Linked DNA regions of Saccharomyces cerevisiae S288C. Changing the gene in region 1 together with any one later gene gives a genetic interaction. Each region holds a gene or a part of one and is shown in the gene's direction. Other genes may lie near its edges. The genes, in order: MIR1, YAR068W, GGC1 and ALD6.

Region 1 (4,012 bases):
GTATTCGCGAATATTACATACCGATTCCAAATGGTAAAGAAATTCACGATGTTCTCTTGGCATGTATTTTTTCATTTCGTCCAGATAATTGATCTTGCTGTCTCCTTGGGAAGAATGCGCAGCATTCGCAGTGTGTTTCACACCCAAAAGGATGTCCAGTGTCTGTATCAACGAGCTTTGCGCATTGGACCCGCCAGAAAAGATCCGATACTGTCCTTCCGCTCCATACCTAACACCCTGTGGTAACCCCATATGCGACATATTCGTCCACCCGGCCAAAAATGGTCTTATCTTGAAATAAAATACATTGGGTTCACACTTAAGCTCCATTTCCATCAAGGCTTTCGATAACCTTTCGATCGTTGCAGCCAAGCCCTCCAACCCGTCTATCACGTTAGCGTCTCCTTTATCACCGCTTCTAATGGCTCTCAATATCTGCAACCCATGGTTTAAACAAGCGCTGCCGATTTTTTCAAACCGCACGCTGACCAGATAAAACCAACTTTCGTCAACGGTTCCCGTAAATGTGTTTATCGTTGTAATATTTTCCAAGTCCAAACACCCGGTTTCCGTTTTCTTGCACTCGTCGGTCACTTTGAAGTTCCATAACACCAACGAGGAGTACGTAGCTAACGGTGGCACACCCAAAATATGTGCTGTCTCCAACAGTGGCCTTGCAATACACTCCGGTAATACATCCCGGGGAGTTCCGCTGGCCCAAATATAAGCGTGCGCCATAAACCCCAAAATGGAATATGCTCTTCTGAGCTCCCTGACGTCGCCCAAGATCGTCTCATCCAAGTCCAAGACATCCAGCCCATCGATGACGCTCCGCACCTTGTTATCCTCTTGCAAAAGAGAGGGCAGGTCAGCAACGATTTCTTCCCATTTCATATATTTCTTGCTGCTCAGTCTGGTCAAGGGTAACCGGTCGTCCAAAAACCCATGATGTGGCGAGATACAGTATTTTTCTAGCACTGGTAGTGGTCTCATTTTTGTTCTATGTAGTACTTGTGGTCCGGTTATGGAAGTGTTGTTCATATCGGCGTTGACTCTTTCTTTTATTTTCGCTTTATATATGCTAAAGATACATGGACATCTAGTGTGTGTGACAGTAATTATTTCTGACGGTGGCTTTTTTGCCTCGGAGCGACGTTGAAAAGTGACAGCGTCAGCCCATAGAGAAAAAAAATAAAAAAAGGCCGCTACCGATATGTTTTCATTACGACAATTAAGCAGCACAAGTGTCTGGCGCAATGCCTGACTACTGGGAAAAGTCGAAGCATTTGCACGGCGTCCATTACGATGGTTAAGGCAGTTTACGACGAATTGCGGAGTCAAGTTTTAATATTTATAGATAGCCCTGTCACCAGTATCGGGTGTTGTTTCTACCCAAGCGCCTGCCAGCCTCAAACAATACAACAGGTATTGTTTTTGGACAGCGGAATGCTGCGATGCAACAGTATCGCAGCATGGTACTGCTTTCCTCTAGTCTTTTGTCGAATGTGAGCAAGCAGCAGCTGAGACTCTGCCCAACCATCGTTAGCCAATCAGCGTCGAGAACGGGTCCCATGCCCGGCCGCGGCCCGTTTCGAGAAGATTTTTAAGTGCGATCCATCCTCCCGATCTTTTTATCTACAAGAACCATCGCAAAGAACAGAGTGATCTGCAAGAAGAAGAACTACAAAGATCAAAAAGTCTCATCTCACCATGTCTGTGTCTGCTGCTCCTGCTATTCCACAGTACTCTGTCTCTGACTACATGAAATTCGCCCTAGCCGGCGCCATAGGGTGCGGGTCGACTCACTCCAGTATGGTCCCGATCGATGTCGTTAAGACGAGAATCCAACTGGAACCTACCGTGTACAACAAGGGTATGGTCGGCTCTTTCAAGCAAATCATCGCCGGAGAAGGTGCTGGTGCGTTGTTGACCGGGTTTGGTCCTACTTTGTTGGGTTACTCTATCCAAGGTGCCTTCAAGTTCGGTGGTTACGAAGTGTTCAAGAAGTTCTTCATTGACAACTTGGGTTACGATACCGCCTCTCGCTACAAGAACTCTGTTTACATGGGTTCTGCTGCCATGGCCGAATTCTTGGCAGACATTGCCTTGTGTCCCCTAGAAGCCACTAGAATCAGATTGGTCTCCCAACCACAGTTCGCTAATGGACTCGTCGGAGGGTTTTCCAGAATTTTGAAAGAAGAAGGTATCGGCTCTTTCTACAGTGGGTTCACTCCAATTTTGTTCAAGCAAATTCCTTACAACATTGCTAAATTCTTGGTCTTTGAACGTGCCTCCGAGTTCTACTACGGGTTCGCCGGTCCAAAAGAAAAATTGTCCTCTACTTCCACTACTTTGTTGAATTTGCTTTCCGGTTTGACTGCTGGTTTGGCCGCTGCCATTGTTTCCCAGCCAGCAGACACTCTGTTGTCCAAGGTCAACAAGACTAAGAAGGCTCCTGGCCAATCCACAGTCGGTTTGTTGGCTCAGTTGGCCAAACAGTTAGGATTTTTCGGTTCCTTTGCTGGGTTGCCTACTCGTTTGGTCATGGTTGGTACCTTGACCTCCTTGCAATTTGGTATTTATGGTTCTTTAAAGAGCACTTTGGGTTGCCCACCAACCATTGAAATTGGTGGTGGTGGTCATTAGAAATGGTCTTGATTGATACATGCATATATATTCTCTCCTCATCACCACCGGAGCCCCTTTTTTTTTTCATATTCTAAGAAAGAGTCAACAAAGGAAAGAAATAAATAAATCTGTTTAAATGTACTCTATTCAATCACTAGTATTCTTATTCCATGTATTTACTGACTTTGCAAAAGTCCAAATATCTGTAAATTAACATGCTATTATAAATATATATATATATATATATTTGAATTTTCTATTTTTTCATCTACAAAAGCAGGTTATAGCTCCGTTAAACCCTTTGCTCATTGAATTGTCCTTCACGGTTTTTTGGTGGAAAACACAACATGGAACATAACATTTAAACATCGTTCTCAATCCATTTCATCGCAGTAACATATTTGGTCGGGCACATACGGACACGTATATGTTATACAGATAAATATAGCTTAAATATGGCTATATTTACACAACACAATGCTCGTGGGTCGTTACCCGACCATGCAGGATCGCCAGTATTCTTTATTTTTCCGCCTTCTAACATAAAGAAAAATAAACAAAAAAGTATTTGATCGAAAAGTAAAATAGGTAGACACCACGTATTGGCGACCCGATCTGGAGCCGTTTAGAAAGTCAATCATCACAAGGCCTAAAGTTGCTAACCACCAGCCATGTCCGGAATAATTGACGCATCTTCTGCATTAAGAAAAAGAAAGCATTTGAAAAGAGGTATAACCTTCACTGTGATGATCGTGGGCCAGTCCGGATCTGGTAGATCGACTTTTATAAATACTTTGTGCGGTCAGCAAGTTGTAGACACTTCGACGACAATCTTGTTACCCACAGATACGTCCACAGAAATAGACTTACAATTGAGAGAGGAGACGGTCGAATTAGAAGATGATGAAGGTGTCAAGATTCAACTTAATATCATCGATACTCCGGGATTCGGTGATTCTCTCGACAATTCTCCATCTTTCGAAATCATTTCCGACTACATTCGCCACCAATATGATGAAATCTTATTGGAAGAAAGTCGTGTGAGAAGAAACCCAAGATTTAAGGACGGCAGAGTTCATTGTTGTCTTTACTTAATCAACCCAACTGGCCACGGTTTAAAAGAGATTGATGTGGAATTCATCAGACAGTTGGGATCCTTAGTTAACATCATCCCTGTGATCAGCAAATCAGATTCCTTGACAAGAGATGAACTGAAACTGAATAAAAAATTGATCATGGAGGATATCGACAGATGGAACTTGCCAATTTATAATTTCCCTTTCGATGAAGATGAAATATCAGACGAAGATTACGAAACCAATATGTACCTACGTACACTTCTACCTTTTGCTATTATTGGATCCAATGAAGTTTACGAAATGGG
Region 2 (8,063 bases), on another chromosome or scaffold:
GACTTATACTTCAGCCCGTTTAGGAATGCATAAAAGCAAATAGGATTCGTTACAACTGCTGCAGGACTCTTTAGGACTGCATCAAGGTAAGCCTCGCTGCACCTAAACGCAAAATGTGGTTGTAACCTTTTTAATTTTTTTCTTGAACTTGTTGAGTCGTAATAAATCGTTTCTGGGAAGTGGAAGGTAATAATGTAATGGAATCGGCGTTACTCGCATGTGCAGATATCAGCGACAAAAAGTGTTGTAGGGACGTTTCGATACCAAAATTTCCTAAATACAGCGCAGGAACATCACTACGCTAAACAAATCGTAGCGCATACATCTGATCGAAAAAAGACAGTTCCCAAAACAATGACATATGAAGAGACCAGCATCAAAATTTTCATCATTAACAGCATGGCTAAAAGTTATTGTTTAATATACCCATACCTGATTGACGAACCAAGAAATGCCTTATCACTATTTATTTTTGGCACTCTTCACCTACCTGGCCACGTCCAATGTTGTTTCAGGAAGTACACAAGCATGCCTGCCAGTGGGCCCGAGGAAAAATGGGATGAATGTCAACTTTTATAAATACTCATTACTGGATTCAACAACGTATTCCTACCCGCAATATATGACTTCTGGATATGCCTCGAATTGGAATTAGGTTCCGTTGGCGGACAGACGGATTTCTCAATTGACTACGATCTTTCTTGTGTTATCTCTTCAGGAACTTTTAAATGTGCTCAATCAGATGCTTATGGAAACTGGGGATGCAGAGGTCATAGTGAATGTTCAAAATAGCCAAGAAAGACCTATTGGAGTACTGATTTACTTGGTTTCTTACTATCCCAAAAAACGCTACTCTAGAAATGACAGGTTACTTTTTACCACCACAAACAAGTTCTTACACGTTCAGGTTTGCTAAGGTCGATGACTCTGCAATTCTATCAGTCGGTGGTAACGTTGCGTTCGAATGTTGTGCACAAGAACAACCTCCAATTACATCGACGGATTTTACAATCAATGGTATTAAGCCATGGCAAGGAAGTTTGCCTGATAACATCGGAGGGACTGTCTACATGTATGCAGGCTACTATTATCCGCTGAAGGTTGTTTACTCCAATGCCGTTTCCTGGGGCACGCTTCCAATTAGCGTGGAATTGCCTGATGGTACTACTGTTAGTGATGACTTTGAAGGGTACGTTTACTCTTTTGACGATGATTTAAGTCAGTCAAATTGTACTATCCCTGATCCTTCAAAACATACTACTAGCATCGTCACAACTACTACCGAACTGTGGACTGGTACTTTTACTTCTACATCTACTGAAATGACCACCGTCACCGGTACTAATGGTCAACCAACTGACGAAACCGTTATTGTTGCCAAAGCTCCAACCACTGCCACCTCATCCAGTTTGTCATCATCTTCTTCAGAACAAATCACCAGCTCTATCACGTCTTAGCATCCAATTATTACTCCATTCTATCGCAGCAATGGAACTTCTGTAGTTTCTTCCTCAGTCATGTCTTCCTCGGTCATTTCTTCTTCTGCAACGACCTCCACTTCTATATTCTCTGAATCATCTAAATCATCCGTCATTCAAACCAGTAGTTCCACCTCTGGTTCTTCTGAGAGCGAAACAATCTTAGTGATTGCTGGCATGTCATTAGCGACAAGACGCTTATTACCGTAGTAGCCCCCCAAGGCAAACATCTCTTTATCAGTAATATCCAAAGCTGTTCAACTTCTCGAATTGGCCCAGGAAAAGAGCATTGGGGCGGCAACTAACTCTGGCATACTTACAGTTTCTGCTCTTGACAGCGCTAAAAAAGGGCTTGTTTTGTAATGCCCGGTTCGCAATTCTACAAGTACCACGCACTAGCTGCTAAAAGTGTCTAACCTTGCGAACAAATCTGGACTTTCTTATGAGAATCCCATCGTCAAGAAACAAAATTATACAGACAGGCGTAAATGTAGCTCGTAAGCGCCTGATCAAGTAAGCCAAATGCGCTAACTTGAGGAAATATAGCCATCTAAATCTCTGCAACATGCCAATTCGCACGTGACTTGAAACTATGGAAAGTGTCTAGAAGATTACCAAGAACCACGTTATTTGAGAGAGGATGGCAAGGTGACGACAATCACACCAAGACCACATTTTGGGTGCGCCTGGAAGCAAGACCTGAGAAACTGGGCCAAAATATTCAAACCAAGCATAAGATAGTTGGAGGTAGGAATACACTATCTAATCTGTGCTGATGAAATGCTGGCGAAAACGGGCGATGTAGTGGTACAGAAGGTGCCGGTTATCCGTTTGTCCGTTTTTCTTCATTTTTTTTTTGTTTTTCCCTTTTGTCTTTTGCACCGCTTATATATGGGTATGAAACAAGTTCAAGAATTTATAATGGAACCCAAAGGTTCAGTCTTTGTAGTTCGAGCGACATTGCGCGTTTCCTTAGAAAACGCTGGAAAGATATTCTTTAACGAGACGGAGTAATTCTCGTCAGGAATAGGATGTTGATTGATTTTTGCTGTAGTTATATAGCAGGGACCCACGGAAGAGAGCGAGCGCCTTCTTTCACAGGGACTTTTGTCAGCCACGTCTCCGGGGAAAACAATTGCCGTCCGCGTCGCAGTGAGATTACGCAGCCGTGCGCTTCAGGGACAGAAAAGAAGCATTTCGCGGCTACGGAGAAACCGTGCACTAACTCTCTCGAGGGTAGCCGCAAAGATTTCTTGTCTCTTCCATTAGGACATAGCTATCTTTTTCTTTTCTGTTTTTGGCGTATGATCTGTTCTGAGCCAAAGTTATAGATCATTGCTTGAATAAGCACCTCACAGAGTAGGGATTGTATAGAAAGTAGCTGAGCGTCTGCCCACGTAACAAACAATCTTGCCCCTTCCCCGCTCTTGTTTTCGCGTGCCTCTTCTACAATAATCTGGCCAGGCTGAATCGCGTTCTGCTGCTGCTGCTGCTATTGTTATTGTTGTTGTTGTTGTTTTGGCCAATTGCTTATGTGTTGGTCTGCAAATTAGCACCTCGTTCCCTGTTGGCAAACGCGCGCGTACAAGCCTTACAGGGCTTGAGAATGTTCTTCGTAGAAATGCATGCACAAAAATTCTGATCTAGCACACCATCGGTCTCTGTAGCTTCGGGCTCTATAGCTATGGGTTAGGAGTCCGTGAGTAGTAACAAGAAGAAGTATATAAAAAGCAGGTAAATCGTACTTCAATATGCTTCATTGTCACTGGATCGTCATATTCACTCTTGTTCTCATAATAGCAGTCCAAGTTTTCATCTTTGCAAGCTTTACTATTTCTTTCTTTTTATTGGTAAACTCTCGCCCATTACAAAAAAAAAAGAGATGTTCAATCGTTTTAACAAATTCCAAGCTGCTGTCGCTTTGGCCCTACTCTCTCGCGGCGCTCTCGGTGACTCTTACACCAATAGCACCTCCTCCGCAGACTTGAGTTCTATCACTTCCGTCTCGTCAGCTAGTGCAAGTGCCACCGCTTCCGACTCACTTTCTTCCAGTGACGGTACCGTTTATTTGCCATCCACAACAATTAGCGGTGATCTCACAGTTACTGGTAAAGTAATTGCAACCGAGGCCGTGGAAGTCGCTGCCGGTGGTAAGTTGACTTTACTTGACGGTGAAAAATACGTCTTCTCATCTGATCTAAAAGTTCACGGTGATTTGGTTGTCGAAAAGTCTGAAGCAAGCTACGAAGGTACCGCGTTCGACGTTTCTGGTGAGACTTTTGAAGTTTCCGGTAACTTCAGTGCTGAAGAAACTGGCGCTGTCTCCGCATCTATCTATTCATTCACACCTAGCTCGTTCAAGAGCAGCGGTGACATTTCTTTGAGTTTGTCAAAGGCCAAGAAGGGTGAAGTCACCTTTTCTCCATACTCTAACGCTGGTACCTTTTCTTTGTCAAATGCTATTCTCAACGGTGGTTCTGTTTCCGGTTTGTAACGTAGAGACGACGATGAAGGCTCTGTAAATAACGGTGAAATCAACCTAGACAATGGAAGTACCTATGTTATCGTTGAACCAGTTTCTGGAAACGGTACAATCAACATCGTCTCTGGTAACCTATACTTGCACTACCCTGACACCTTTACTGGCCAAACTGTTGTATTCAAGGGTGAAGGTGTTCTTGCCGTTGACCCAACCGAAACCAACGCCACTCCTATTCCTGTTGTTGGCTACACCGGTAAGAACCAAATTGCCATTACCGCCGACATCACTGCTCTTTCTTACGACGGTACTACTGGTGTCTTAACTGCAACCCAAGGTAACAGACAATTCTCTTTTGAAATTGGTACTGGATTCTCTAGTTCTGGCTTCAGTGTCTCCGAAGGAATCTTCGCAGGCGCCTACTCATATTACCTAAACTATGACGGTGTCATCGCTACAAGCGCCGCATCCACATCCGCATCCACTACCTCTGGTGTTGTCTCTACTGCCACTGGTTCAGTCACTTTATCCTCTAACGCTTCTACCACCGTCTCTTCTACGATCTCTTCTAGCGCCCCAGACTCAATAATTCCTTCATCTAGCGCCTCTATCTCTGGTGTCTCAAACTCCACTACAGCATCTGGTTCAATCGCTTCTACTGCTTCCACCGCTTCCACTACTTCTACTGCATCCGCTGCATCCGCCACCAGCTTCACCTCAGGTTCCGCTTCTGTCTACACTACTACATTAACTTACTTGAATGCCACAAGTACAGTCGTGGTTTCCTGTTCAGAAACAACCGACGCTAGCGGTAACATTTACACCATTACCACAACTGTCCCATGCTCATCTACCACTGCCACCATCACATCTTGTGACGAAAACGGATGCCATGTTCCAGCACCAACTGCTACCGACGCAACTGCAACCGTTTCCTCCAAGTCATACACCACTGTTACTGTTACTCACTGTGACAACAATGGCTGTAACACCAAGACTGTCACTTCTGAATGTTCTAAAGAAACTGCAGCAACCACCATTTCTCCAAAATCATACACTACTGTTACCGTTACTCACTGTGACGACAACGGCTGTAACACCAAGACTGTCACTTCCGAGGCTTCCAAACAAACATCATTGGCCACTAGCACAGTCACCAAGTCTGCTGCTCCAACTTCTCATACTGCTGCTTCCAGCACCTTCACTGGTATTGTCGTTCAATCCGAAGGTATGGCTGCTGGTTTGAGAACCAATGCTTTAAGTACTTTGGCAGGTATTTTCATCCTTGCTTTTTTTTAAAATGAGTGCGTAACCGTACTTTCCTAAAAATAACTAAGTAGAAAGTATTTTAATATATAAACGTCAGTGTAAACATTCAAGTGATTTTAACTTTACGCGGTTGAAGAATGCTGTGTTCGAACTATAAAGCGTCAGAAAAGATGGTTTAGCGAAGGCACCATTATGAAGATAGACACATTCTTCTTTTTTTTTTTTTTTTTTTTTTTTTTTTTTTTTTTTCATTTACTTTTATTTCGCGCGGTCGGTAAATTTTTCGTGGGTTTCTTTGAATCTATTAGCCGACATAAGAATAATGCATAAATAATATTTTTAATGTCTTCCTATGCCCAAAAGAAGAAGTCTTGAAGTTGCCGCACATGGAAATCACATGACCATGGCTTGGCCCTTCGTTTTAAATGCAACATGCAATATGGAATGTGTCATGAATACTATCAGCAGGAACAGAAAGCGTCGTTTTGTTTCTGCAAATGCTGTAGTTTTGGGCCGAAAATAGATGTAGTAGAATATATAGTGAAACGTGATGTACAAAAGAAAAAGGTAGTTTAAAAAAAATTAGATAACTTGGATTTTTACCCTGAATATTGCATGTGATTCGTAAAGAACTGAGTTACCTCAAACGGACCTCCCTTTTCATTTCGTATTCCGCGAATCATGAAGTCATGCAATTACCTCTGAAGAGCTGACTGTCCCAAAAGAAGCTATCGAATCTGTCCTTGATTTATTTAAGCCTTGCGTTTCGAGAAAGTGAAAACCAATTGAATACAAAATAAAAAAAAAGAAGAAAGAAATAGCAGGTCTAAGATATATAAGAAAGTTAATATCATTTTTGAACATTTTATTTTAGACGCCTTCAGCCGCGCGACGCCCGGAGTAATCATATGCCCATGACTTTACCAAAAGGCAACAGGGAGGAACATGCATTAATGTGAAGCATCACTGCTGCAATTCTCGGTGTTGCTAATAATTCATGGATCGAGAAAGAGACATAACATTTAGGCCAATTTTTTGAATAAATATGAACTCAGCTAAGACTCGACAATACAATTTTCTTATACTAAACGTAGATTTATAAAATAAACACAACTGTAAGGGCAATGCAACCGTAGATGCATATATCATTTATAGAAATTATATCCAACAGAAAGCTCAGACTTATATCCGGTTTAAGAGAGAAATTCTTGCTCATATTACCCCAAGACCAGGTGGCGTGTTGAAGTTTATAACATATAAGAACTACTACCTCATGAATTCTAGTGGATGAAAGAAGCAGCACGAACACCATTTCTACAGACAACGACACATGGAAAGGTTCACCATTCCCAAAGAAAACAACGATGGCCACAAGGGTGTGGTCCTCCATTCTCCTACTGTTGGAAGGAGATATTATCCGACCGACTGTTTTGTGATATGGCAAACTATTTTTTTAAATGAGCAAAATTACTTCTTTTGGCTGGAAATGTCATTAGAAAGTGCCCAAGTGACATTTAGCTAAACTCGGGTATTGTCTACAAGACCGGTGCTGTGACCGTTTCCAATACGGAAAGAAACGGTACTGGGAGCAGGAGTTGCTTTTACAGATATGAACAATGCCAATAGAGCCGCACATGTAATTACTGGTTCACACTCGTGGGGCCCACACGATTCCTGTGCAAAGTTTGACAAGAGGATGGAGTTTCACGTAAATGCTGCCAAAGGTGATGCGGTTTTGTTTTTGGGCAGCCTCTACCATGTTGCAAGTGCGAACCATACTGTGGCCACATAGATTACAAAAAAAGTCCAGGATATCTTGCAAACCTAGCTTGTTTTGTAAACGACATTGAAAAAAGCGTATTAAGGTGAAACAATCAAGATTATCTATGCCGATGAAAAATGAAAGGTATGATTTCTGCCACAAATATATAGTAGTTATTTTATACATCAAGATGAGAAAATAAAGGGATTTTTTCGTTCTTTTATCATTTTCTCTTTCTCACTTCCGACTACTTCTTATATCTACTTTCATCGTTTCATTCATCGTGGGTGTCTAATAAAGTTTTAATGACAGAGATAACCTTGATAAGCTTTTTCTTATACGCTGTGTCACGTATTTATTAAATTACCACGTTTTCGCATAACATTCTGTAGTTCATGTGTACTAAAAAAAAAAAAAAAAAAGAAATAGGAAGGAAAGAGTAAAAAGTTAATAGAAAACAGAACACATCCCTAAACGAAGCCGCACAATCTTGGCGTTCACACGTGGGTTTAAAAAGGCAAATTACACAGAATTTCAGACCCTGTTTACCGGAGAGATTCCATATTCCGCACGTCACATTGCCAAATTGGTCATCTCACCAGATATGTTATACCCGTTTTGGAATGAGCATAAACAGCGTCGAATTGCCAAGTAAAACGTATATAAGCTCTTACATTTCGATAGATTCAAGCTCAGTTTCGCCTTGGTTGTAAAGTAGGAAGAAGAAGAAGAAGAAGAGGAACAACAACAGCAAAGAGAGCAAGAACATCATCAGAAATACCAATGTTGAAGTCAGCCGTTTATTCAATTTTAGCCGCTTCTTTGGTTAATGCAGGTACCATACCCCTCGGAAAGTTATCTGACATTGACAAAATCGGAACTCAAACGGAAATTTTCCCATTTTTGGGTGGTTCTGGGCCATACTACTCTTTCCCTGGTGATTATGGTATTTCTCGTGATTTGCCGGAAAGTTGTGAAATGAAGCAAGTGCAAATGGTTGGTAGACACGGTGAAAGATACCCCACTGTCAGCAAAGCCAAAAGTATCATGACAACATGGTACAAATTGAGTAACT
Region 3 (8,823 bases), on another chromosome or scaffold:
TCAACTCGGACAAGGAATATGCGGCTGTGACGAAGGGCCTCAGCAGCTCAAGAGTACAAAAGAAGTCATCTTTAAGGCAGATGAAAAGCAAAGTCAAGGAGCTTCAATCTTTAGTGAATCATTACCGAGAAAATGAAGCCGCTTTAGTGTCTAGCGCCAAGTTATTGTCCGGCGAGATCATAGGCTATGAAATTAAGATGGCTAGTTTACATGGAAAAATGAAAAGTATCCTGGATGAGAACAACGCGTTAAAGGAAACGCACAAGAGCTCTGCTGAAAAGAGAATCGAACTTGTTCGACTTCCCTCTAGCAAAGAAGAACGCAACTACGATGAATACACTTTGCTTGTTAATCTCAAGAAGGAAATCTGCGCCAAGTTACAGGACTACAAAAACGTCCAGAACACGGTGAACACCAAGTTAGATGAGATTCACACGTTCCATGAAAAATACTACGAAGGACTAGAACTAAGTTTAGACAGCAAGGTGTTTGATGCAGAAAGCTCAAAAGAGCTGGCCAAAGTGAGGCGAGAACTGAATAACGTGAGAAAAAATTCCGAAATCAAAGTGAATAACTTGAAAATGCAACTGCTACAAGCAACCAAATCACTGGAGCACTTGAAGAAGCAGGCTAAAGCAAAGGATGACTATCTTAAATGTATTCCTGAGCTGGTCGACAAAGCCAATCTCACGATGTTATCCTACAAGAAAAGCATCGCTAACCAGAGGGAGACTATCGAAGCATTACAAGCAGAACTATCGCAACAATCAGAAACAAAGGGGCAAATAGAAACAGAAACACAAAATCAAGTACAAATCCCCACCAATGTGACTTTGGTGGACCCCTTTGAGGAAAACAATCCAGAGGATTTGTTCGCTATCCAGGAACAGGAATTGCAAGATCTAAGGTTGCATAAGAAAATGGCCGATGAGAGGAGCCGAACTACCCACTTGCATTTAGAAAGAAAAAATAATACCATCAAGCTACTGCAGAGTTACGTGCAATCATTAATTCAACGGCTACCACCAGCCCAGCGCAAACACCATTTGGGCATATTCCAAAAACTTGGTAGCGAAAAATCGTGTCCACTCGCCCCCGCTGTGGCAAGTACATATGCGCCTCTTCTACTCTTATCCCAGCATTCGAACCATCAAGAAATTGACAACACCCCTCAACGGCTTCTATTAGCGGCTCCAGACGGGCAGTCATATTCCGAAAAGAGCACAACACTAAACCTTGATTACTCATCAAGGAAATCCTACTTATCAAGACTACAACCACCACATATAGCCAACCTGAAGTCTTTGACTCTGAAAACTCTGCCAAGGGTGCCCACGGACAGTCCTCAACTTCCTTCAAAAGACAAATCTCAAGAGACTGCAAAGAAAGACGATCGGCCAAAATTGGTGGCAAATGAACCAGTCACACTAGACACATCAACTCCTCCTGTGGCACAAAGCTTGGCGGATTCAAAGCATTGTTCAGGACTACATAAATAAATATAAATACGAAGCGGTAGAGATCACTACGGCATCCGCCTATCTGCAAAGGAAGCTCTATCGCAAACATACCACCGTTAATCTTCGCTGCCACAGTTTCCTTGTAGACCAATGGCATGTAGCACCGCCGCCACTGCCCGAAAAAAAAAGAAAATGAAAATTAAAGAACGATCGCAATTCTTGATAAAGCTCGAGAAAACAAAAACTCGTGAGTCACTGTGCATTTGCTGTCACATTTTCTACAAAGCGACGACATAGATATATAGAGGTGACTATATAAATCGTGTATCTCTTTTGATGGTTAATATTTAGCCTTTAGACATATATCAAACAAAGCATCTTCCAAAGTATTAGAAAAGGGAAATATGCCTCATACCGATAAGAAACAATCAGGATTAGCTCGTCTTTTGGGGTCCGCCTCTGCAGGCATAATGGAAATTGCCGTCTTCCATCCTGTGGACACCATTTCCAAAAGACTGATGTCCAACCACACCAAAATAACCTCTGGCCAGGAATTGAATCGTGTTATTTTTCGTGATCATTTCAGCGAACCTTTGGGCAAACGTTTGTTTACCTTGTTCCCGGGTCTCGGTTACGCTGCATCATACAAAGTTCTTCAAAGAGTGTATAAATATGGTGGTCAGCCTTTTGCTAACGAGTTTTTGAATAAGCACTACAAAAAGGATTTTGATAATCTTTTCGGTGAAAAGACTGGTAAGGCAATGAGATCCGCCGCTGCTGGATCTTTGATTGGTATTGGTGAAATTGTTCTTTTGCCGCTGGACGTGTTGAAGATTAAGAGACAGACCAATCCCGAATCGTTTAAAGGTAGAGGTTTCATCAAGATTTTGAGAGACGAAGGCCTGTTCAACTTATATAGGGGTTGGGGGTGGACGGCTGCCAGAAATGCTCCCGGTTCATTCGCCCTTTTTGGTGGTAATGCATTCGCCAAGGAGTATATCTTGGGTTTGAAAGATTATTCTCAAGCTACTTGGTCCCAAAACTTCATCTCCTCCATCGTCGGTGCTTGCTCCTCTCTGATCGTTTCTGCTCCATTAGATGTCATCAAGACAAGAATTCAAAATAGGAATTTTGATAATCCTGAAAGCGGGTTGAGAATCGTCAAAAACACTCTGAAAAATGAAGGTGTAACTGCGTTTTTCAAGGGCTTAACACCTAAATTACTAACAACGGGTCCAAAACTGGTTTTCTCATTTGCGTTAGCTCAATCTTTGATACCTAGATTCGATAACCTGTTGAGCAAATGAAGTACATGAACTTCTTGTCTATTTTCCTTGGCATTCAGCTTGTGAATATAAAATGTATAACAATATGAGTTTGTACTTTATGTATTATTTCCTGTTTTTTGACTAACTACTTTTTCCAATGTAATAGCTGTATCACCGTACCGAGGTAAGGACGTCAGCCGCGTAGTTCTAAAAAAATAAAGGATTGCTTTGAAGGGCTTCTGGGCCACTTCAGGACAAAAAGAATGAACATAAAGAAGAGCGCTAAATTTAATACTACAGAGGAACCTGTTACTATCTCAGCTTTTTCAAGAAAATGAAACCTCCGTTAAACATGTCACGTTCAAATAAACCACTTACTCAGGAAGCTAATAGTTCGGCGCATATTGATAGGGCACATCAGCTAGCACAGGATTTTAACAGTAAACAGGATGATACCGCACTAACTTCACTGCCCCACAAGAACCCCGACATATTCAGATTTGAGAACAACATCACAGCTCATAGCTCGCGTCGTGGTTCTCTATATAGAGACAGCGATGCTACTGTGGTTTTGCCGCTTTCTGAACATACCCCTAGATTATCAATGGATGATCCATACCGCCAATTACTACAACAGGCTGAAATCTCACAACTACGAAGTAAGAAAAAAAGGCATTCCAGTCGAGTTTTGCGTACTTCGTTTATATCTTTTGTGGTGCTAGTTTCCTCGCTGTCAGGGTTGGACCAAGGCCTCATATCTGGTAACGTTATGACTTTGTCGTTCCAGAAGTATTTTCATTACCCACTTACTTCTCCGCTGGGCAATATAGTGAGCATTGTTAATCTGGGTGCGTTCATGGCGTCGTTATTTGTCTATTCTGGCATCCTGGAGCCTTGTAGCAGGAAAAAAATGCTCCAAATAAGCACAATGATATACTCTTTGGGTGCCATTGTTCAGGTCTTGGCTCTAAACCAATGGTGTTTACTACTGGGTAGATTCTTACTCGGAGTAGGTATGGGCTTTGCCTTTTCTATGGTAATAATTTATCAATTCGAGTTTCCCCTTCCCTGTATAAGAAAACGGACATTAATTTCCATTCAATGCGTCTCTAGTGTCATTGCGTATTCATTCGGAATATGGATTAATTGTGCTTTCAGATATTTGGGCTTTGCATGGAGATACCCTTTGTCAACACATGTGGCACTTGGAATAATACTAAACCTAATGTCGTTCTATCTTATTTTAGAGTCCCCTTCGTGGCTGTTGAAGCAAAAGAACGACGTAGAGGCATTGGTTTTAATATCGAATGTTTTCGATGATGGAAATTTCGAAGAAAACCAAACTCAGTTGAAATTTAGGGTCCTGAAACGAGACATATTATTAAAGTCACACCTTCAAAAAAACTCCTATCCATATGCGTATATCTTAAAGGATTTTTCTTCAATAATAAAATTGTTGATAGGTTTCCAACTTCTCACACGAACAAATGGAGTGGATGCTTTCTTGTATTACTCACCGTTAATATTACAACAAATGGGGAGAGGAGAAAGAAAATCTATCTATTTAACGGGGCTTAATGCTTTAATTTACAGCATCGTAATATTAGCATATGTTCCCTTGGTGTTACGGAAACGTAAAGAGAAAACGAATGTACTCTTAGGTTCGATTGTGATGTGTGCATTGCTATTTACCATATCTTTTACAGACTGGTTTCCCAAGAGCACAACGAGGTATATATCAATACTATTTGCTGTTTTTCTTTTTACGCACTTCATCAGTTGGGATTCTATAGGATGGGTTATGACCATTGAGCTTCTACCTCACTTGTCACAGGCCCCAGTGATACTACTAGTCTCAAACTTTTATTGGATTTTTAAGTGGTTCGTCAGCTTAATAACCCCTATACTTATTGACCGTCTGTCTTGGAAGTTTTATCTTATTCCATCTTTATCTTCCTTTATTTCCATTATATTTGTGCTGAAGATTTTTCCTATAGAAACCCGTGACGAAAGGTTAGATTCTGATGATGATTCTACCGGAAACGGTAGCGGTAACCATGATGATGTTTTTGACGATACCGGTTCTGAATTCTCCTCCTCACCATCTTTTTCCGCGTATCAGATAAACACTCTAGGAAGTAGTATCAAACAAAATAATCAAGCCTATTCATCTATTCAAAATGAGCAGATTCTACCCAAAAACGGAAACTTATCGAACCAGACACACGGTTCTGCACAAAATGTTTATTTCATTACATCTGATTCAGGACCATCAAGGACTGGAGAATTTTTCAGTTTTCATAACAGAACCGATCCAAATATCAGCGACAACATTGCTGCGAATAAACCCAGTTCAGGTGGAGGCCAGAATTCGCCTGGAGACATGGCAGTTGCCTAGTATGGCCTCATAAAAATATTTGCTTCATCCTAAGTATAAATGTTTAGTTTTATCCTACATACATATTCTTATTATAGTCATTAGAAAAAAGGCACGGCGCTATTGGCCTGGCAGGGCATTTAAAATGCGGTGGAAACAAGGAAGATTAATCAAGTAATGATATAGCATATGCACAAAAAAAAAATTGAAAACGGTCGCATTTTTGATCTAAATGGACCAACGATGAAGGAACTGCTTTACTATACATTCATTGAAACTGAAGTGACTGGTGCATTTTTGGTGTTTAGGGAAAAGACTCAAAACCTTGTTTTTGCCTCGTTAGGTAATGATAAGCTTTTTTTATTGGGAAAGGTGGAAGGCTTCTTGAAGAAACATGAGAAACAGGATACAATGTACGATTTACAGGAACTAAAAGAGGCAGAAACATATAAGAAATCAATCGAAAATTATACAATATGTTTAGAAAACAAAATGCCATTACCATCGGGCGCTATTCCCTTTGAGTTCCTGTTTGGAACAGATTTTCAACGTAAAGTTTGGAATGAGCTTTTAAACGTGGAACACGGCCACGTCGTAACATATGGTGATATTGCAAAGAGAATAGGGAAGCCAACTGCCGCAAGATCTGTCGGAAGAGCTTGCGGCTCAAATAACCTGGCATTGTTAGTACCTTGCCATAGAATCGTTGGTAGCAATAGAAAATTAACCGGATATAAATGGAGCTGTAAACTGAAAGAACAGTTATTAAATAATGAAAAGGAAAATAGCTTAAGCCTTAGTAGATTGTAGTTGGATAAAGGATTTTAGGAAAATAAACATAAGAAATAGTTATGTATATGTGGTAAATTGTTCTAGTTATACATCTATGTTACAATATGGCTGGCGTTGGTAATCTTGTGAAACAAGCGACGAACTTGTCACCCTTCTTTCTTTCCACTTTTTTACCTTCTTCTGTGGCATTTCTCATTATTTTCACACATTCATCGTTTTCTTCCCATTCTTTGCTCAACCGTTCAAATAAAGGATGCTCTTCTAAATGTTTTACCATCCACTCATGCAGGTCTTTGACGTCTGTAATTGTGTACACGACACCGCCCTCTTTCAAAACATATGCGTACTCACTCAGCAAGGTGTTAGTGATAATTCTTGCCTTATGCTTTCTTTGTTTGAAATGAGGATCGGGGAAACAAAAAAACATTTTAGAAAGCTGGCCCTTTTCAAAAAAGTTGGGCAAGAATTTCATAGCGTTACCTCTCAAGACATTAATGTTTTGAAATCCATGTTTTGAAGCTGTATTGTTCCTTAAGGCAATAATTCTATCCTCCACGTAATTTGTAACCTGCACACGAATTTCCATCCCTAAGATAAGATCTTCAGGGAAGGCTGGTGATAAATCTATCATCAACCCACCGAATCCACAGCCAATATCAGCAATCGTCACCTTCTTTGTCATTTGTCCATTTTCCGCGTTTTTGTAGTAAGGGTACAATTTGGACCAATCCATATCCTGGGGAGATACTGGGTACTCTAACTGGTGATCTGAAAATGGGTTGGAATGCGCCCTTTGACGATAATATCTCTTCTTTGGCAAGTCGATCTTTTGGCCTTCTTGCACCAAAGAACTTTCATTGATCTTTACATGCTTCAACTCCTTACGATTTTCTTCCTTATTTATACGGTATGCGTAACGCTTGGAGCCTGGATCTTGGCTTAGTGGCTTGGCTTTCATCTTAACAATAAACGCTTGAAAATTTTATCCTATGGGAACTGCTGAATCTATACTAATCCAGCTTTTGTGGCGCTTTAATAAAGTGAAATGTCAGAAATATCCTGAAATTTTTTGCTGAAGTCATCACCAAAATTTTTCATTTTTTTTTTTTTTCAACGGTCGCTGAGATATGTAAAAAGGTAAGAAAGGTAAAAGAAAGGTAATTTTGACGTCAATACATAGACTAAAGTATATTTACCGTTATTGCTTCATTGTCTTTTTATTTTTTGATGATGTATGTACATGATTGAATAGTAAAACCTTTATAAAACTTGTCGAATTACGGGCATTTTCTTTTTACTTTGATCCCTTCGATTCTGCATCTGTAGTTGACTCCACATCCTCTTTAGGTTTTTGGTTGTCATTGTGAGATTTTAGTGTTAAATACAATGCATTTGAACTGTTTTCCAACGTACGAACCAAACCCAACCCACTTAGCATTTGCAAAACGCTGACTAACTGCGACTGCATTTCCGGCTTTGTGGGGAGAGTCTTAAAAGTGTTTATTTTTTCCACATTCAAAACTTCGTTTTCTACTTTTGCACCAATCACCATCAGCTTGTCTTGTGCTGACTGCAGAACCTTCAATAGCTTGGCTACTTGTTGAGGGTTGGTGTCTTCGTATGTAATTGTGGCCGTAGGACCCTTCAGTAGTGGCAAGAGTGGATGTTTCCAGTTTTGCTCTTTACGCTTCACGAATCCACATGGGTCGGGCAGATGCGAATTTCTCAAGTAGACTTCGAACAGGTTGTTTCTTACTTTTGTGAGTTTCCCTCCTGTCTGTTTAATCTTGAATCTGAAATGGTGATCTTCTGTTTTGGAAAGATTATTGTAATGGACAAAAAAAATCATAGAACTGTTCTCCATTAAATGCTTGTATGTATCGATGAGAAACGTCTTCCTCGAGTCCAGCGGCTTTACTGTCTTTCTTGAGGGTTGTTCAGAAGCCAGAGCATAAAATCTCTTATGTACTGTACCAATTGTCTCCTTCAAACCAAAAAAACCATTTCTGGGGACCCATCCAGGCATAAACCTTAGCTGCAACATTATTTATAATCACACTCCGCGCCCAAGCACTTCCAATAAGGTCTAAAGCTTTTGTTTTCCTTACTCTTCAATTGTACTAACCTTCTTTCTTTTCTCAGTTTACTGCTATAACTCTACGTTTTTTTCTGTATGAATCTCTACTAAGCCCTAGGGTTATTAGTGTATAAACGTTAGGTTACACTATGAAAAAGACTTGTTTAATAGGTCATATAGTAAAAAGCTTAGGTTAAGTGCCTTCAAGAACGAAACCTAATTTTAAAATTGACGACTAATTATCAAGTGTATTGAAGATGGCTTGAGATGAACCTTAGCACTGGATGCTATGGCTTGTAGAATAAGCAGATATCCCGGTAATTTAATTTGAGTTGCTCAAATTATATACAAGAACGTGGTAGAGACTGGATTTGGAAGCGTCTCTTTTTATGAAGTAGATTTTAACTCCGTTTTCTTTTCATTTCCTTCTATTCTTTTGTACAGAGTGTACCACCACGTTTTAATACTTTGTTTTAATACAGTAGGCAATGGTTAATCAGGGCCAACCGCAACCTAACCTCTATGACAAACACATTAACATGTTTCCACCAGCAAGGGCGCGGGAGTCCTCGCATAAATTGGGAAATGCCAATTCGGATAGGCATGGTTTGCCAGCTCAAAATATAGTGCCTGCACCCTATCCAGTGGATGACTCTATCGTTGAACTCACACCAGCTATTCCTTTTACATCCCCTTCATCTTCCTCATCATTATCGCTGCCTTTGAGTGCGCTGAATTTCACAGACGGGAATGCTGATGGTGGTCAATTAGGCACTCCAGTAACCATAAATAGTAATAACGGCATGGACATTTTTAATTCCAAGCCAACAGGTGAAATAGGATATGCCA
Region 4 (9,416 bases), on another chromosome or scaffold:
ATAATAAATTATTCAATAAATTATTCTCAGGACATTTTGAACCTTTTTTTCTCTTCAGACGCTTTACAGCGGAAAAGGAAAAAAAAAAAATTGGAAGTTCTTTCAGTAAAGTGAGATATATTCAGCAAACGAACATAACGTCAGGATTAATCGGAACGGTAATTTCTAGCATCCACTCAATTTCGTGATTAGCTTTTGGCGCATAACTGATTTTTTGCTTTAGCACATCACAGCTAGAATAAACTTCCAAAAATCACCCGCTTGCAATGCTGTCCATTTTAAGAAATTCGGTGAGACTAAATTCAAGGGCTCTTAGGGTTGTGCCATCTGCCGCCAACACCTTAACATCGGTTCAAGCATCCAGAAGACTTTTAACAAGTTATTCAAGTTTTTTACAAAAAGAAACAAAAGACGACAAGCCTAAATCCATTCTTACAGATGATATGCTGTTCAAGGCCGGTGTTGACGTCGATGAGAAGGGCCAAGGCAAAAACGAGGAAACATCAGGAGAAGGAGGAGAGGACAAGAATGAACCTTCTTCCAAAAGTGAAAAATCTAGAAGAAAAAGACAAACTTCTACAGATATTAAAAGAGAAAAGTATGCTAACTGGTTTTACATTTTTTCGTTGTCTGCGTTGACAGGTACTGCAATCTACATGGCAAGGGATTGGGAGCCTCAAGAGTCTGAAGAATTGAAGAAAGACATCGATAATGGCTACACTTTATCACTTATGTATAAAAGATTCAAGGCCAGGTTCAACTCAATGTTCACCTACTTCCAAGAGCCACCTTTCCCTGATTTACTACCTCCACCACCACCACCACCGTACCAAAGGCCATTAACTCTTGTTATCACATTGGAAGATTTTTTGGTTCATTCTGAGTGGTCTCAAAAGCATGGTTGGAGAACGGCCAAAAGACCTGGTGCTGACTACTTCTTGGGTTACCTATCGCAGTATTACGAAATTGTTTTGTTTTCATCCAACTATATGATGTACTCTGACAAAATCGCTGAAAAATTAGATCCAATCCATGCATTCGTATCTTATAATTTGTTCAAGGAACACTGTGTTTACAAAGACGGTGTGCACATTAAGGATCTGTCAAAATTGAATAGAGATTTGAGTAAAGTAATCATTATTGACACTGACCCTAACAGTTACAAATTGCAACCTGAAAATGCTATTCCAATGGAGCCATGGAATGGTGAAGCTGATGACAAATTAGTAAGATTGATTCCATTTTTGGAGTACCTTGCCACTCAACAAACCAAGGATGTTAGACCAATCTTGAACAGCTTTGAAGACAAGAAGAACCTAGCAGAAGAATTTGATCATCGTGTGAAAAAATTGAAGGATAAATTTTACGGAGATCATAAATCTGGTGGCAACTGGGCAATGACGGCACTAGGTCTCGGAAATTCCCTGGGCGGCAGCACCAAGTTCCCGCTCGATTTGATTCATGAAGAAGGACAAAAGAACTATTTAATGTTCATGAAGATGATTGAGGAAGAAAAGGAAAAAATTAGAATACAGCAGGAGCAAATGGGCGGGCAAACATTTACGCTGAAAGACTATGTTGAAGGTAACTTGCCTTCGCCAGAAGAACAAATGAAAATACAATTGGAGAAGCAGAAGGAGGTAGACGCCTTATTTGAAGAGGAAAAGAAAAAGAAGAAGATTGCTGAATCCAAATAATTTTCATGTAAACCCTCTTCTCATGTATCTACGTATCTATGTGTGTATGTAAATGTACCTGTACACTCCCCACACCCTCATTTTGTTACTGTCATGTGAATAAAACTTATGTATATTGCTAACTTACTACCACTGCACCTCCTAACATCACCATACTACGTACAAACACGCCTATTTATTTTTTCTATGTTAAATTTTAACGATGTAGACACACCTAATGATCTGATGCGCTTTGCATATCTCATATTCCTTCACTAGCATAAAAATCCAAAAAAAAAGAATATTTAGGCCGAATGGAATTATTCGTAACGTCATACGAAAAAAGTTTCAATTCGTACAATGCCTGGCATGTTCATTCGAATATAAGGCCGCCGCCTTCCAGTCAGGGTAGCCAAAAGTATAATCCCGGGTGGAAACTAAACTAAAAACCGTACTCACAACTTTCCGCGGACGCTAACAGACAAATAGACACACTATCAGGTCAGGAACTGCCGTCACATACGACACTGCCCCTCACGTAAGGGCATGATAGAATTGGATTATGTAAAAGGTGAAGATACCATTGTAGAAGCAACCAGCACGTCGCCGTGGCTGATGAGGTCTCCTCTTGCCCGGGCCGCAGAAAAGAGGGGCAGTGGCCTGTTTTTCGACATAAATGAGGGGCATGGCCAGCACCGAGACGTCATTGTTGCATATGGCGTATCCAAGCCGAAACGGCGCTCGCCTCATCCCCACGGGAATAAGGCAGCCGACAAAAGAAAAACGACCGAAAAGGAACCAGAAAGAAAAAAGAGGGTGGGCGCGCCGCGGACGTGTAAAAAGATATGCATCCAGCTTCTATATCGCTTTAACTTTACCGTTTTGGGCATCGGGAACGTATGTAACATTGATCTCCTCTTGGGAACGGTGAGTGCAACGAATGCGATATAGCACCGACCATGTGGGCAAATTCGTAATAAATTCGGGGTGAGGGGGATTCAAGACAAGCAACCTTGTTAGTCAGCTCAAACAGCGATTTAACGGTTGAGTAACACATCAAAACACCGTTCGAGGTCAAGCCTGGCGTGTTTAACAAGTTCTTGATATCATATATAAATGTAATAAGAAGTTTGGTAATATTCAATTCGAAGTGTTCAGTCTTTTACTTCTCTTGTTTTATAGAAGAAAAAACATCAAGAAACATCTTTAACATACACAAACACATACTATCAGAATACAATGACTAAGCTACACTTTGACACTGCTGAACCAGTCAAGATCACACTTCCAAATGGTTTGACATACGAGCAACCAACCGGTCTATTCATTAACAACAAGTTTATGAAAGCTCAAGACGGTAAGACCTATCCCGTCGAAGATCCTTCCACTGAAAACACCGTTTGTGAGGTCTCTTCTGCCACCACTGAAGATGTTGAATATGCTATCGAATGTGCCGACCGTGCTTTCCACGACACTGAATGGGCTACCCAAGACCCAAGAGAAAGAGGCCGTCTACTAAGTAAGTTGGCTGACGAATTGGAAAGCCAAATTGACTTGGTTTCTTCCATTGAAGCTTTGGACAATGGTAAAACTTTGGCCTTAGCCCGTGGGGATGTTACCATTGCAATCAACTGTCTAAGAGATGCTGCTGCCTATGCCGACAAAGTCAACGGTAGAACAATCAACACCGGTGACGGCTACATGAACTTCACCACCTTAGAGCCAATCGGTGTCTGTGGTCAAATTATTCCATGGAACTTTCCAATAATGATGTTGGCTTGGAAGATCGCCCCAGCATTGGCCATGGGTAACGTCTGTATCTTGAAACCCGCTGCTGTCACACCTTTAAATGCCCTATACTTTGCTTCTTTATGTAAGAAGGTTGGTATTCCAGCTGGTGTCGTCAACATCGTTCCAGGTCCTGGTAGAACTGTTGGTGCTGCTTTGACCAACGACCCAAGAATCAGAAAGCTGGCTTTTACCGGTTCTACAGAAGTCGGTAAGAGTGTTGCTGTCGACTCTTCTGAATCTAACTTGAAGAAAATCACTTTGGAACTAGGTGGTAAGTCCGCCCATTTGGTCTTTGACGATGCTAACATTAAGAAGACTTTACCAAATCTAGTAAACGGTATTTTCAAGAACGCTGGTCAAATTTGTTCCTCTGGTTCTAGAATTTACGTTCAAGAAGGTATTTACGACGAACTATTGGCTGCTTTCAAGGCTTACTTGGAAACCGAAATCAAAGTTGGTAATCCATTTGACAAGGCTAACTTCCAAGGTGCTATCACTAACCGTCAACAATTCGACACAATTATGAACTACATCGATATCGGTAAGAAAGAAGGCGCCAAGATCTTAACTGGTGGCGAAAAAGTTGGTGACAAGGGTTACTTCATCAGACCAACCGTTTTCTACGATGTTAATGAAGACATGAGAATTGTTAAGGAAGAAATTTTTGGACCAGTTGTCACTGTCGCAAAGTTCAAGACTTTAGAAGAAGGTGTCGAAATGGCTAACAGCTCTGAATTCGGTCTAGGTTCTGGTATCGAAACAGAATCTTTGAGCACAGGTTTGAAGGTGGCCAAGATGTTGAAGGCCGGTACCGTCTGGATCAACACATACAACGATTTTGACTCCAGAGTTCCATTCGGTGGTGTTAAGCAATCTGGTTACGGTAGAGAAATGGGTGAAGAAGTCTACCATGCATACACTGAAGTAAAAGCTGTCAGAATTAAGTTGTAATGTACCAACCTGCATTTCTTTCCGTCATATACACAAAATACTTTCATATAAACTTACTTGGTCTTACGTCATAAATAAATATGTATACATATAAATTAAAAAATTTGGTTTTATATTTTTACAAAAAGAATCGTTTACTTCATTTCTCCCTTTTAAGCGATACAATCCATGAAAAAAGAGAAAAAGAGAGAACAGGCTTGTGCCTTCTTTAAAACATCCCACACAAAATCATATTGAATTGAATTTTACATCTTAAGCTAGTGTACAACAACTGCTATATCCAAAGAAAACTAACGTGGACCGCTTTTAGAGTTGAGAAAAAGGTTTGAAAAAAATAGCAATACAAAGACTTGTTTCATATATAAAATACAGGGAGCACATTGAGCTAATATAACATAAACACTGCGAACCAATTCCAATCAAAAGGTACACATGAGAGCATTCCCCCGAGTACTGCCATTTCGCCATCAGAGATCATATAATAACATCCTTCTTCGAACAGTAAGGCTTTTTGGTTCATCACTTTCTTCTTTTGATTTCTCTAGGCAAATGCCTAAGGTGGACCCTGACAATACCGCTGCAATGCTACTACAGAAAAACTTGATCCAAAGAAACAACATGCTCTATGGGTATGGATCAGGGACAATACGATGTACTTTGCTAGACTCAACTGGACGAGCCAAATCACCATTAGTAGAGATAAAACGTGAGGATCTAGTATCAAAACATGGCTTGTTGCCCAGAGATCTACGTAAAATTGAAAAATCAAGGAAGAATGACTTAGTCCCTAGTTTGCTCGTGCGAGAAAATTCCATACTAATCAGTTTACTTACTGTGAAAGCCCTAATTAAGCCTGATATGGTTATTATCTTCGATTCAGCCGGCAGTGGAATAACTTTAAACTCAGAAGCTCACAAGGATTTTATTAACGATATGAAATTGAGACTAAAAAATCAAGAAACAAGCGAGCTAAATAGCGATCCACTTCCTTATGAATTCAGAGCTTTAGAAACGATCTTCATTTCGGCATTATCTAACCTTACCAGTGAAATGAAGGTGTTGCTAACCATATGCAAGGGGGTGCTTCAAGATCTAGAATTTAGTATAACAAGAGATAAATTAAGGTTCTTACTGGGTCAAAACAAAAAATTGAGCAGCTTCAATAAAAAGGCTGTTCTAGTTAAAGATATGCTGGATGACTTGCTAGAGCAAGACGATATGCTTTGTGATATGTACTTAACCGACAAAAAGGCTGGAAAAATTAGAGTTCAAGATGATCATACTGAAATTGAAATGCTTCTGGAAACATATCATAACTATGTCGATGAAATAGTTCAGAAAAGCGAAAGCGCCATATCTGACGTGAAAACCACAGAAGAAATCATCAATATAATCCTAGATTCTAACAGAAACGAATTAATGCTGTTAGGGATAAGATACGCCATAGGAATGCTTTCGTTGGGAGGCGCTCTATTCCTGGGTTCTATCTATGGTATGAATCTGGAAAGTTTCATAGAAGAAAGTAATTATGCGTATTTAACTGTCACCATTTTGGGGTTAATATCTACTGTTTGGCTCTATGCGAAGGGAATCAGACATTTGCATAAATTACAACGTATGACATTATTGAGTAAAATAAAAACAGATTCCGTTCACGAACTGTTGAAGAAATAGTTATCACGAAGAGTCAATCAATCTTTTTAATACGCATTCAAATGAATAAGAACAACTTTCACTTTTTTAAGTATATAAAAAGCCGTACAGGCGAACGTATATAATTAAAATTCTTTGGAAAAAAAGAAAGCTCGCACTCAGGATCGAACTAAGGACCAACAGATTTGCAATCTGCTGCGCTACCACTGCGCCATACGAGCTTTTGTTGTATAGTTTTAAGGCAATAGAATAATAACACTTATCCACGCAACAGTAATGTGGTTAAATAATAACTTCCTGTCAGGACTTGTGGTTGATTGGTGAAAATCAAATATCATGCTGACTACTAGAAATATTAGCAGTATATTATCATATACGGTGTAAGAAGATGAGATAAGGATTGAGAAACAGTCATCAAGTTTAATGAAAGTGAAATGAAAGGATTGATTATATAATAGGATAATGAATCACAAAGTATAAAAAGAAGGAAGAAAAAATGATATCATTGAGAAATTGATGAATTTTGAGATAATTGTTGAGATTTAATTGTTGATAAAGGCAATAATATTAGGTATATAGAATATACTAGAAGTTCTCCTCGAGGATATAGAAATTTTCAAAGGGGAATCGATTTTTCTACAAATAATATTACTATTATTCCTCCTTCCGTTTTATATGTTTCATTATCCTGCTATATTATCAATCGTTGCATTAATCGTTGAATTTCAACTTACTCGAACTTCGATGACAGTTTCTCATCCCTTATGTTATCTTCTTACACTGTATGTGATAATATACTGGTAGTATGACTACTAGTTGATAGACGATAGTTGAATTTATTCCATAAATTATTTATGTAAAACTGCCGACCCCTTTTGTCGATTTCTATATTCTCGAAGAGAACTTCTAACATTTTCTGTATACCTGATATTATAGTCTTTAACAACAACGGAATCCTCACAGTTATCTACGATTCATCTATTTCTCATCAGTAACAAAGATATTTCAGTAGTTATTTTATATAATTCATGCGTTTCACACATAGAGATGGTTTCTTAAGTTTAGAATGACGTATTTAGCTATAATAAAATGTTTCATTGTGGGATAAAAACTTGTGGGCCATGACATGAGCAAATTTATTATCAATGTTGATAATTAGAGGTAAAAAATTAGTATTAATGAAGAAGTGAGTACTGATCTTCTTATACTAAATAAGAGAGGTATATAAAACACACGCCGATTGGTCATATTAATCATGACCAATATAATAGTGGTTCCGGTAGTTACTATACATTGATGTGACGACTCATATTCCTCATATATGTACCTACCATATCATGTTCAACTAATAGGTCTTTAACACAGCTTCAGTATTGTCTGAGCTTCTCGTTTAACATTCCTTCTGCAATAGGCGCAATCACACTTAAACGTATACGAGTTGTACATTAATATACGATGTAAGCATTAGATTGTTACCATAGCAACTCATGTCACTATTAATTACTCTCGTTCCAACATGCTCCCTTAAAGATATATTATTGTACTTCAACAGATATTCATTGTGTGTTTAGAACTTCATTAATTAATTATCAATAGTCTGTTGAGGCCAAAATATCCTGTGATGTTATTTTATTTTTTAATACTTGTATAAATCTTTTAAAATCAGATGCTGATACTGGTTTTGTTAGTAAATCAGCAATATTACCTTTGCCGGTAATTTTTAACAGTTTTATACTCTTCTCTTTAATTTTTTCTTTTATTATTTCAGTTTTTATCCAAGTGAATTTCTCTTTTGGTTGTTGATAGCTGCGATTTAATCCTTGAATGGCTGGCTTTGAGTCAGTGATCATGACAATGTCATTATTGTCTCCTTCTCCTAGCTCCTTTAATGTTACCTTCAACGTTTCTGAGTCTGCATAGCCTTCATAAATGGCATGAAGCTCTGCTTCTGTTGATGATACACATCTGTTTGTGCTCTTGTTAGAATAAACATTAAAAATATTCATACCGTACCATAATATAACTCCAATCCTTGATTGAGCATCATATTCTGATCCAACTGATGCATCAGTTATAGCAATAACCTTCTTGTCTTTATTACAGTCTCGGTCATAGTGTATTCCAATATCTTTATACCGAACCAAGTACTGGATTATTTTGTAAATCATATAAAAGACTCTTTCATGTGGGTAATTTACTAGTCTAGCCACTTTCTTAACAGCAAAATTAATGTCGTATCTGCATTTGTGTCTGACATAGTTTAGTTCACCTAGTAATTGTTGTAGCTTTAGAACACCTTGTCTAAACTCTTCTTCTGACATTTGCAGTACGTCTTTCTTAGGATCTATTTTATAAGTTGACATATGCGGAATTGAACTTTTTCTAATCTTTTTCAATTCCTCGTTGTATTTTTTATCCATTCTATTTATGAATGATTTTAATGTTAAATCGATAGTACCAAGTCTTTTGTTGTATACTAGATCCATTCCTAATATATCTGTATCGAGTACATCATCTATTAATGTTCCTGTAATTTTCAGTTCAAAATTACTTTTCAATTTGTTTATGAATTCATCCAATCTCTGTTCATTGCTTGCCGCAATTACGCAGTCATCAACATAGACTGCAATCATTAGATTTTTATCCTCGGTTTGGTATAATCCCGGAGTATAAGAGTTATCTTTCAGTCCAATTCCATTCAAGTATTGTCTTAGATGATCATTCCATTCTTTAGGACTCTGTTTTAGACCATATAACGCCTTATTTAGCTTGACTACACATCTCCTATCATGCGGATGTGGGATGTATATTTCTTCTTCCAATTTAGCATATAGGAATGCATGATTGATATCCAGGGTCTTCATAAACATATTTCTGTTGTTTGCAATCATTAAGAATATCTTAATATGATTGTGATTTAAAGATTCTGTAGTTATTACACTGTAAGTGTCTGGTGACTGAGTATCACCTCTGCAGACTATCCTAGCCTTATAAATCCCATTTCTTTTCTTTGTGAATATCGTGTTGGTGGGTACTATTAAATTATCAGGGATTTCTGATCTACTGTACTTCACATCGACATCAAATACCTTCATATCTTTTAAATTCTGTAATTCTTTATGATATGCCTGTTTGTATTCATGTTTTTCTTTGAGGTCAGGATTTTTTGAAATAGCTTCATTATAATATATGGCTCTAATTTTTTGTGCTGAAACTGTTTCCATATTATCTGGAATTAATTTCACTCGATTCCTTTTTGAACGCTTCTTATCTCTTTCTAATTCATAGCTTGTTAGACTATTGTTTTTATCGTGTCTTTTCCGTTTTCTTTTCATGTTCAAAGAA

What was found.
Region 2: mutations in MIR1 (region 1) and YAR068W together harm fitness less than expected from each alone (positive genetic interaction), as found in Saccharomyces cerevisiae (one large-scale study listed by BioGRID).
Region 3: of MIR1 (region 1) and GGC1, changing one enhances a phenotype caused by changing the other (phenotypic enhancement), as found in Saccharomyces cerevisiae (one study listed by BioGRID).
Region 4: mutations in MIR1 (region 1) and ALD6 together harm fitness more than expected from each alone (negative genetic interaction), as found in Saccharomyces cerevisiae (2 studies listed by BioGRID).

Annotation. Positions count from the first base shown.
Region 1 is NC_001142.9:575,889-579,900, reverse strand, and holds MIR1 (Mir1p), read left to right. Parts: upstream 1-1,710; coding exon 1,711-2,646; downstream 2,647-4,012. Other genes in the region: dioxygenase BNA2, read right to left, coding at 1-1,041; septin CDC11, read left to right, coding at 3,300-4,012.
Region 2 is NC_001133.9:217,689-225,751, forward strand, and holds YAR068W (uncharacterized protein), read left to right. Parts: upstream 1-4,717; coding exon 4,718-5,203; downstream 5,204-8,063. Other genes in the region: YAR064W (uncharacterized protein), read left to right, coding at 2,510-2,809; YAR066W (uncharacterized protein), read left to right, coding at 3,361-3,972; acid phosphatase PHO11, read left to right, coding at 7,772-8,063.
Region 3 is NC_001136.10:97,593-106,415, reverse strand, and holds GGC1 (Ggc1p), read left to right. Parts: upstream 1-1,864; coding exon 1,865-2,767; downstream 2,768-8,823. Other genes in the region: ASF2 (Asf2p), read left to right, coding at 1-1,499; YDL199C (uncharacterized protein), read left to right, coding at 3,063-5,126; MGT1 (methylated-DNA--protein-cysteine methyltransferase), read left to right, coding at 5,349-5,915; TRM8 (tRNA (guanine46-N7)-methyltransferase), read right to left, coding at 5,995-6,855; mitochondrial 54S ribosomal protein uL10m MRPL11, read right to left, coding at 7,192-7,941; ACK1 (Ack1p), read left to right, coding at 8,463-8,823. UniProt on the Saccharomyces cerevisiae protein: Mitochondrial GTP/GDP transporter required for GTP uptake and GDP exit from mitochondria. Involved in mitochondrial iron transport and essential for mitochondrial genome maintenance.
Region 4 is NC_001148.4:429,673-439,088, forward strand, and holds ALD6 (aldehyde dehydrogenase (NADP(+)) ALD6), read left to right. Parts: upstream 1-2,915; coding exon 2,916-4,418; downstream 4,419-9,416. Other genes in the region: protein translocase subunit TIM50, read left to right, coding at 267-1,697; YPL062W (uncharacterized protein), read left to right, coding at 2,223-2,627; MFM1 (Mfm1p), read left to right, coding at 4,851-6,092.